Linked DNA regions of Saccharomyces cerevisiae S288C. The protein of the gene in region 1 purifies or fractionates together with the protein of each later gene. This does not show direct contact. Each region holds a gene or a part of one and is shown in the gene's direction. Other genes may lie near its edges. The genes, in order: RDS3, CUS1 and HSH155.

Region 1 (2,914 bases):
AAGAGGGATTTACGGAGAAAACTTAAGTGGGAGAAAACTGAAAAATGTGCCATACCAATTAGGTGCAAAAATGAAAGATCTAAAGGGAAGAGAACCAAGAGTTATTTAAAGGGCTACATAGGGTGCAAGATTAGTTAGGTTGTAGAACTAGTTTTTCAGAGTCATTAAATCAGTTATTTTTTATTTTGTAGTCATCAATTAGCCCCTTCGTTAAAGAGACCAATCTAGTACAGTGTGAATATAAAAAAATCATCATAATAAACTAGTCCGCAACAGTCTCTTTTATCATCCAAATCAACTGATAAGGAATAAATTGAAATAAGAAACAAATTTCCGAAAAAATCAGATGTCTTGTGACCAATCATCAATTCTCCACTAAAGAACCATAATGCCATCAACATCGCTCCTTTAAAAAATTTGTACACAAAAGAACGATGAGAGTAGACGGCGACCCTTTAACAGATACTAATATGTCCGCCCGGTCGACAACAAATCATCATATCAAAAGGAAAATTAAAAATTCCATTGCAGGCATGAAAAAGATAATAATGAAAGATAAATGCTTTCTTTTCTTCCCTTCCGTGGCACCCCTCATACAAGGCTGAAACTTAACGAAAAAGGGTTGTCGACATGTAGTTAAACCACTATTCAGTCGGAACAATTGGTATATGATTAATAATTTTTAATCATAGGGGAGTCACACAGAAAGAAAATGGAAAAAGAAAAAAGGAACTCATATATTATCTCTTCCAAGGGACCTACTGGTCGCTTAATCTGCCTCTTTGTAGTGCAGTAGCACTCACAATGGTGCTATATTTGAGTTTGTTCAACTGTTTTCTATTGAAGACGAAGAAGCAAACAAAGGAAGATGTGAAAAAAAAATTCTATGGGTCAAACTTGTGCTTTTATACGTCGTACGAGAGATGGGTCACCCGCTTCTGAGGGTTTTTTTTAGGGCTCATACTAGAGTATTATACTGTTTATATCTTGTTTTAATGTTATATTGCATTACTACTCATCATGACAGTAAATTAGGAGTTCTGTGTGCACTCCAGTTCGGGCTAAAGAGTCGTAATCGTACTGGTCAGGCAGGTACTTGTTGTCAGAGAGACGGTACAACTTGCGGGATACTTGCTTGTTGACGTGCTTGTAGGCATCCTTGAAGCGCAGCAGAGGCAGTGGGTACCGGTCCAGTGCTCGTCGCACGTGCATCTGGATTTTGTGCTTGGCATTCCGTATCTGTTCATACATCTGCTGTGTCTTGACGCTGTGCTTGTCCCGTAACTCACCAGCAAAAATCATGGAATTCCTGGAATCGTAGCTAGCAAGTTGGCTACTGATAGCACCCATGCGCAGCTCGAGCAATGCATTTGATCTACAATCTGTGCACTCCTGCCACGTATTGCGATCGCCCACCTCACAAGCTAGCCCGCGTAGACATGTTTCGTGATATATTGCTTCGCAGTCTTGGCAATACAGGCTTAATCGAGAAACATCTGTGTCTCCGCATATGCTGCACTGAATTATCTTAATGGTATCCATCACCAGCGTACCTCTAAGCCTTTCGCTGAGAAATTCTATTTCTTGGTCTTGCTCCCCTGTATCGTCCTCATTTCTTTCGTTAGTTGTTTCGGCCCCCACATAATCGATAGCATTCTTAATCATAAACCCCATCTTCAAATTTATAGAAAGTGCATGTTGCCCTTCGCCAACTTCTAAATGGGTGGATTCAACCCTGCAGATGGGGCACTTCAAGTTGATACTATACTTGTGCCACTCTCTTATACAGTTTAAGTGGAATTTATGCCCGCAAACGTTCAAACATCCAAATTGTTCACCCTCTTGGTCATCTGCCAAACAAATAGGACACTCTTCCATCTTTTTATATGATATTTGGATATTTGGCTGAGGGTATGGTCTCTCCCTTGGCTCAACTCCTTGCATCTTTTTTTCTATTTTTTTTTCTCACTTTCTGTTCTTCCATATATGCATTACTTGCCATATTTCTCACTTACTAAGGCATTCAACATAGAAAATGAAGATGGATACAAAAAAGATCCACACACATACAAGCCTCCAACAAAAAAAACATGTCCCGCCATCAGTTTGATCTAATAATGTGCCTAAAGCAGCCTGGTGTACAGACAGGTCTTCTTTGTGAAAAATGTGATGGCAAATGTCCTATCTGCGACTCTTATGTAAGGCCCAAAAGGAAAGTTAGAGTATGTGAAAACTGTTCGTTTGGTAAACAAGCTAAAAATTGTATAATTTGTAATCTAAATGTTGGAGTCAATGACGCATTCTATTGTTGGGAGTGCTGCCGCTTAGGTAAAGATAAAGATGGCTGTCCTAGGATCTTAAACCTTGGCAGCAATAGACTGGATAGACATTTCGAGAAAAAGAAAAAGGTATAACACATACATATAGAATATGTAAAAATATATAAATAAATAACATGCATTTATAACCCATGGTACTATTTTCTTCCCCTTATTCGTTACTATATTCGTCGTAACTACTGTCGCTCACGCACACTTGCAAACTGTTCTCGTTGAATAAGAAGCTTTCCTCTATATCATCTATACCATCACTATCGTCGTTATTGCCTTGCCCCTCCTCTTCTCCTTTACCATGCTCTAAGATATTCTTTTCAGCCTGCTTGCGAGTCACTTCTTTTATGATACTTACAAACAGCTCGCTTCTCTTAATTTCGTAGATTAACCAGTCCATTCTGACAGCCAGCTGTCTTATGCGGTTTATCATATCTGTCTTAGTCTTTGTGCTAATAGGAACACATTTTCCCATAAGCATCAGAGTGCTTTCAAATTTTTTCAATTTCTCCCATTTGGCTGATTTTATAGACCTAAGTCTTTCCATCCTCTGCAAAATGGTAAGCTTTCTCTTATTACAAATA
Region 2 (3,760 bases), on another chromosome or scaffold:
CTGAACTGTGCATATTTGAATTTTAAGATATAAAATATTTTTCTGATACTTTAATAGTTTATTTTTATGTATTATCAATTCTGTAGAATTTAATAATTTCAACATTTCATGAACGGCCAGAGGTAAATGGGTAAGGCTTCCTTTCAAAGAATCTATAGATATTAAGGTTTGCATGAAGTAAATAGCTGATAACCTTAGTACAATTAGAACAAGTTGAGACAAATAGGAAGCACCCCAGCATAAGAGCAATATCCTCAGAAAAAAAAAAAATGACTAAGCTAAATAATTAATTTTTTTAAAAAAAACTTATAGTACAATACACGCTAATGTTTGGCAACTGGGGTTTCACCAGTCATTCTGGCGACAAATTCCTTCGCCATATCACCAAAACCAACCATGAAGACAGTTTGCCAGATACCTAAACCAATTCTTGGGGTGACACCACGGTAAAGACCCTTTAGACCATTTGATTGATAGATGTATTTAAATGTCTTACCAACAGTCAAATTTTTTGGTCTGTTTGGATCTTCCTTCTTAGATTGCATTTCAACTCTAATGACTTCGATTGGTTGATTCCAAGCACTTAAACCACCACCTAAAGCACTGGCACCAATTTTCTCGAACGGATTCAACTTGTCGTCTTTATTGGTTTTCCCGGTGATCTTTCTGATACCATCTTCCACTAGTCTGGACAAACCAAAACGAGAACCCCAGTTGGTCATTTGTCTAATAGCAACAGCATTAACACCCTTATTAATACCTCTAATACCTTCCTTTTTATAAATATTCTTGAACACACTCCAAGAAGATTGTGGGACACCACCTGCGGAGGCAGATTTATGTCTTGTAATTTCCACCGTTTTCATACAGGTACAGAACCCCATGGTTAAGTAGGCTTGAGTGACACCACCCGTGACACCACCTAATATACCTGAGGCAAAGTTGTTCAACCCCAAACTTTTGAAACGATACTCAGCCTCAGCTGACACGAACAGCAACACAGCACCTTTAGTGGAGGCTTCGATCCATGCCCATGGAATCAAACCTTGGTAGTAACCCAAGATACCACCTCTTGACCAGACATGCTTAACAGATTCTAAAAATGTGAAGTTTCTGTTTGCAGCCATTGTGGTCTTAACAACCTCCAAAGGTTGCCCTAATGTAGTCACCTCTGACAAGTTTAAACAGGCACCCAATAGGATATTAGAAAACGAGACTGGCTTTTTTTCTATTACGTTTGCTGCAGCAGTATTAGTGGTAGATGGCATAGCTATAATGACGTCGGGCTTTTCCTAGCTTTATTTGTACAAAAGACTTATATAAAAAGATTGTATCAGCGCTGTTTATATCTCAATGAAAGTAGATATATATACCGTAAGCGAGTTGAAACAATGACTTGAGGTGGGCAGCTTCGGACTTTTTGCAAAATTCAAATCCGAATATCTAGAAGATTGTATTGACAGCGTTTTTTAAATGTCCGTAGATTTCTCGAGATATATAAATGTTACAGAAGGTAAGATCCATGCAAGAGGCTAATGCGTTTTTCTTTTTTTTTTTTAGAGTGCGATATCTTGTCATAAGTTTACACAATGGGACAAAGGAAGCTAAAACATGAGTGCAAAAGAAGGGCCCATGTTTGTCGCCCTATGCATTTAGCCAATCATCTTTTTTTTTTGCGTGATCTTTATCAATCGTGATTCTCTGCCTTCTGAGTGAAAAAAGTCATGATCTTCGCGTTATTGCAGCGGAATTTGCCGACAGGACCTAGGTCTTGAGAAAGAAAAGTGATAGGGTAAGTAATGGAAGAAGAGGGCACAGGTCCAATCACGCAGCTTCATTACAGGGCTATAATTGCAAGAATAATAACTTTCAACCATATAGAAATCCAATACAGTATATTGGTATTGTTTAGAAAGGTATTAAGAAGGCAGTAGCATACAGAGTATATATCTATAGGCAGAGCATCAGATCATAAAGATAGTGGTGAAATGGCTAGAACCAAAAGTAGGAAGCGTTCCGGAAATAACCAAAATAAGAATGCGTCTGTGGTAAATAATAAGGCTGAGATCGCCGCCATGATTGATGCAAGAAGGCTTGAGCAAAAGAAAAAGGGTGGGGTGACTAACAGCAAAGGAAAGACGAATAAGGTAGTGGATGCGAAGTTAGAAAAAGAGTTCAAAGACGTTTTACAACGATTTCAAGTGCAAGAGAATGATACGCCGAAGGAAATCACGAAAGATGAAAAGAACAATCATGTCGTTATTGTTGAGAAAAACCCAGTTATGAACAGAAAGCATACAGCAGAAGATGAATTGGAGGATACACCCTCGGATGGTATTGAGGAGCATCTATCGGCAAGAAAACGTAGGAAGACTGAAAAACCTTCACTTTCGCAGTTAAAAAGCCAGGTACCGTATCCTCAAATTATAGAATGGTACGATTGTGACGCAAGATATCCAGGCTTACTAGCGTCAATTAAGTGCACCAAAAATGTCATTCCTGTTCCAAGCCACTGGCAGTCCAAGAAGGAATATCTATCTGGCCGTTCTCTGTTAGGTAAAAGACCTTTTGAACTTCCTGACATTATCAAGAAGACAAATATAGAACAAATGAGATCGACGCTTCCGCAAAGCGGACTGGATGGTCAAGATGAAAAGTCACTAAAGGAGGCCTCAAGAGCAAGAGTGCAGCCGAAAATGGGCGCCTTGGATTTGGATTACAAGAAGTTACACGATGTGTTTTTCAAGATAGGAGCCAACTGGAAACCTGACCATTTGTTATGCTTCGGTGACGTCTATTATGAAAATAGGAATCTTTTCGAGGAAACGAACTGGAAAAGAATGGTTGATCATAAGAGACCGGGGAGAATTAGCCAAGAGCTTCGTGCCATAATGAATTTACCCGAAGGTCAACTACCACCATGGTGTATGAAGATGAAAGACATTGGATTACCTACGGGATATCCTGATCTGAAAATTGCCGGCTTGAATTGGGATATAACGAATTTAAAAGGCGACGTTTACGGAAAAATAATCCCTAATCACCATTCAAGGTCCAAGAAACAGGGTAGAAACTATTTTGGCGCATTGATCTCATTTGAAACCCCTGAATTTGAAAATTCAAAAGAGGATACACAGGCGAATGCGGAAAATGGGCGCCAAGATGACAAAATCGATGATGAAGTAGAGCATAAGTTAGATCACTTCCAGGAAGACATATCCGAAGTGACAAGCGCAGAAGAAAAACTTGAGAGAAACGAAGAGGAATCGGAGAAGCAACTATATACTGTATTGAAATAACTACTAAATATCGCATAGGTACTTCAGTTTTACAAAATTTTACATGTGGTACTATTTCTCACGTACGAGTTTTTTTCTTTTTTAAATGCGGCCCTAAACCATGCTGAAATTTTTCATGAGCTCATCGCAAAATTTATCTCATTATCAGGTCATATAGTCACTCTCAGGAGAATCCTGCTCGATCAAAGTGAGGCAAGTAAATGCGCATATAGAAGAGAGCAAAACTGTCCTATTTACAAGCTTTTCAAAACAATGGGCTCAAAAGTAGCAGGTAAAAAGAAAACCCAGAATGATAATAAACTAGATAACGAAAATGGTTCACAGCAGCGCGAAAATATCAATACCAAGACGCTTTTGAAAGGCAACCTTAAGATATCAAATTACAAATATCTTGAGGTGATTCAACTAGAACATGCTGTGACAAAATTGGTGGAGTCTTACAATAAAATAATTGAACTTTC
Region 3 (3,760 bases), on another chromosome or scaffold:
TCAACATTAGTGCTTTCCGGAAACATAGAAGTTGGATCCGCAATATGAATATATAAAGTGTACAGTCCATCTCTACCATAGTTTTTCACCGACACGCCGTCATCAATCTCATGCGCAGTTTCAGAGTCTATACAAAAAACCCTAAGATCGCCAAAATCGTACCTATCGTCATCAGTGCCGGATTTTTTCCATTGCAATTCTTCTATATTAGTTAAGTCGTAGAGTTTTTGTTGCCATTTCACTAACTTCGAGGAAGCAGGTAATGCTAAATCCATGTTAAGTAACAATGGATTGGGTATTGAGTTGGGTGTTATCTCATTGATTAAATCTTGACATATATCTCTTGTGATGTCACAATCCTTATAGCGTTCTATCTTTCTGAATATTTTTGAGATCAAAGCTACTATAATTCCGTTATTGTGAAAATTCCCAGCAGCAAAATCTTTCAATAATTGGATCACAGAAGGATATAAAGCTGATATATCGCGATATTTCCTTTCATTCACCAATTTTACAAACTTATTGACCTCTCTATAACTGTTGGCTTCTAGCTTCTCTATCACCTGCGCATAATATAAATGTTGTGATTTTAAGGGAATAATCGTTACTGATATAGGCGACAGCAACGCTGTATTCAGATGGATTTCCCCCCAAAGGTTCGATTCCTGTTGTTGCATAATCGCCCAGTACGTGGAAACAAAGGTAGGTGAATTTATTGGTATATCGTTTACAGTGTGATAGTTATTAACTAAACTAGTTAAGTAATTTATTCCATTTTTATCGTCCAAGGCTTTATTTAAATCCAATTTCTGAACTAATCCGACTAGGGTAAAAAAAGGAATCTGCCATGGACCCATATAATTTTGTAATGATCTGTGGAGTAACTGTAATTTTTTGGTAGTAATGGGCAAATCTTTCCAGGCCAACTTTGAAATTTGGGCTGGATACCTACTTGTTATTAGCTGCCTTGCTACAATAGGCAAAATATTCGTTTGGTTAGAAAAGTTCTTAACGGTTCCAATTGGCAAATGTTTGTGATGGCTCTCAGGCTGTATAAGTGAATGGATTCCAGCAGGTAATTTGTGAGGAATCCTCAATAACACCCGGTTTTTGGTCGCAAAGCACATAGTTCCATCAATAGTAACAAAAGTGTATCGAGGATCCATAGTGCTACTTGGAAGACTTACACACATCGCCAATTCATTGGGTCTCATTTTTAAAAGAACAAAGTCACCAACATTTAAGGGACTTTCCATTAGCTGAACAGGTTGAAATTCCATTGGGTTTGGAGCTTTCAGTTTTGTTATTAATTGAAAATCTGAATTTATTAACTTGTAAAGCGGAATTTTTGGTTTTGTTAAAGACCTCCAGGAGTTTACGTACCAATCTTCGGAAGGTTTAACATACCTATCTTTATAACGTTGGTTAAATTCCTGTTTAATTTGAGGCAGTTGTTTTAATTCAATATCAGGCTCTAATCCTTTTGTTCGTTGCAGAAAGTCTTTGTTTATTGATTCTATATCTTTCTCCGGTCCAACCGAACGGTCTACAACTGTCTCTGTAGCTTGATCATTATCTAGCTCTCGTGTGTGATCTAGTTCTACTTTTGCTTGCTGCTTACTCTTACTTCGCTGTCGTTTGCCTCTGGTAGTTACTCTGAAGCAAGGTGTGTAGGAATGAAAGCTCCTTGCAATTAGAAGAACATGTACTTTCCGCCTAACTACCATCACCTGTCTTTATTTATTCCGCTGACAGATATGCACAACCAATTATCGTCTCTTGAAAGCTTTTTAGACGTGATTGCTGTTATTTGGCACGTTGTTAGTATTTAAGCTTATTCGGGTTTGCATTGATATTTGCCCGAGCAGAAATCTCCTTCTCGATGAGTTAGAACTGAAACATCTCTTCAATTACTTATACATAATAAACATAGAAAGCCAGGACCTGTCATCATGAGTCATCCGATTCAATTTGTAAACGCTAATAATAGCGATAAGAGCCACCAATTAGGCGGTCAATATTCTATTCCTCAGGATTTGAGGGAAAACCTGCAGAAAGAAGCTGCACGTATTGGTGAGAACGAAAAAGATGTGCTACAGGAAAAAATGGAAACTAGGACAGTGCAAAATCGAGAGGATTCATACCACAAAAGAAGGTTTGATATGAAGTTTGAGCCGGATTCCGATACACAAACTGTTACGTCTTCAGAAAATACCCAAGACGCTGTCGTGCCAAGGAAAAGAAAATCTCGTTGGGATGTAAAAGGGTACGAGCCACCTGATGAATCTTCAACAGCGGTCAAAGAAAACTCTGATAGTGCTTTGGTTAATGTAGAAGGAATCCATGATTTGATGTTTTTTAAACCTTCTGACCATAAATATTTCGCCGACGTTATATCCAAAAAACCCATAGATGAGTTAAATAAGGATGAAAAGAAAGAAAGAACCCTGTCGATGTTACTTCTGAAAATAAAAAATGGCAATACAGCGAGTAGGAGGACTTCTATGCGGATTTTAACCGATAAAGCTGTTACATTTGGTCCAGAAATGATATTTAACCGCTTATTGCCCATATTACTAGACAGAAGTTTGGAAGACCAGGAAAGACATCTAATGATCAAGACCATAGATCGCGTCCTTTACCAGCTAGGAGATTTAACAAAACCTTACGTTCACAAAATACTTGTAGTAGCTGCCCCATTGCTAATAGATGAAGATCCAATGGTTCGTTCAACAGGCCAGGAGATAATCACCAATCTGTCTACAGTCGCTGGCCTAAAAACCATTCTAACAGTAATGAGACCTGATATTGAGAATGAGGATGAGTATGTTAGAAATGTAACTTCAAGAGCGGCGGCTGTGGTGGCAAAAGCCCTTGGTGTTAATCAATTGCTTCCTTTCATCAATGCAGCATGCCACTCACGGAAGTCTTGGAAAGCAAGGCATACTGGCATAAAAATTGTGCAGCAAATAGGTATACTTTTGGGAATAGGTGTCTTGAATCATCTTACTGGGCTGATGAGTTGTATCAAAGACTGCCTAATGGATGATCACGTTCCGGTGCGAATTGTTACAGCACATACTTTATCAACACTAGCAGAAAATTCTTATCCATATGGTATCGAAGTTTTCAACGTTGTACTGGAGCCATTATGGAAGGGTATAAGAAGTCATCGTGGTAAAGTGCTATCTTCTTTTTTAAAAGCTGTTGGATCTATGATCCCATTGATGGACCCAGAGTATGCCGGTTATTATACCACAGAAGCAATGAGAATAATTAGACGTGAATTCGACTCTCCCGATGATGAAATGAAAAAGACCATTCTTTTAGTATTACAAAAATGTAGCGCTGTAGAATCCATAACGCCAAAATTTCTGAGAGAAGAAATCGCGCCAGAATTCTTTCAAAAATTTTGGGTCAGACGAGTGGCATTGGATAGACCATTAAACAAAGTTGTTACATATACTACTGTTACATTAGCAAAGAAATTAGGTTGTTCTTATACCATTGATAAATTATTAACACCATTGAGAGATGAAGCTGAGCCGTTCAGAACAATGGCTGTCCATGCTGTTACTAGAACAGTAAACTTATTAGGGACAGCAGATTTAGATGAGAGATTAGAAACGAGGCTTATTGATGCGCTCTTGATAGCATTTCAAGAACAAACAAATAGTGATTCTATAATCTTTAAAGGGTTTGGGGCAGTGACGGTGTCACTTGACATCCGTATGAAACCGTTTTTAGCACCCATTGTGAG

Evidence for each region.
Region 2: the proteins of RDS3 (region 1) and CUS1 purify together in Saccharomyces cerevisiae (affinity purification with mass spectrometry; 3 studies listed by BioGRID). This does not show direct contact.
Region 3: the proteins of RDS3 (region 1) and HSH155 purify together in Saccharomyces cerevisiae (affinity purification with mass spectrometry; 4 studies listed by BioGRID). This does not show direct contact.

The regions. Positions count from the first base shown.
Region 1 is NC_001148.4:718,547-721,460, forward strand, and holds RDS3 (U2 snRNP complex subunit RDS3), read left to right. Parts: upstream 1-2,090; coding exon 2,091-2,414; downstream 2,415-2,914. Other genes in the region: ubiquitin-protein ligase ASR1, read right to left, coding at 1,012-1,878; Arf family guanine nucleotide exchange factor SYT1, read right to left, coding at 2,491-2,914. UniProt on the Saccharomyces cerevisiae protein: Required for pre-mRNA splicing. Involved in regulation of drug sensitivity and may play a role in multidrug resistance.
Region 2 is NC_001145.3:749,469-753,228, reverse strand, and holds CUS1 (U2 snRNP complex subunit CUS1), read left to right. Parts: upstream 1-1,988; coding exon 1,989-3,299; downstream 3,300-3,760. Other genes in the region: 60S ribosomal protein eL20 RPL20A, read left to right, coding at 1-4; YHM2 (Yhm2p), read right to left, coding at 324-1,268; RNT1 (ribonuclease III), read left to right, coding at 3,552-3,760. UniProt on the Saccharomyces cerevisiae protein: Essential splicing protein required for U2 snRNP binding to pre-mRNA during spliceosome assembly.
Region 3 is NC_001145.3:843,619-847,378, forward strand, and holds the start of HSH155 (U2 snRNP complex subunit HSH155), read left to right. Parts: upstream 1-1,952; coding exon 1,953-3,760. Other genes in the region: DSS1 (exoribonuclease II), read right to left, coding at 1-1,727. UniProt on the Saccharomyces cerevisiae protein: Contacts pre-mRNA on both sides of the branch site early in spliceosome assembly.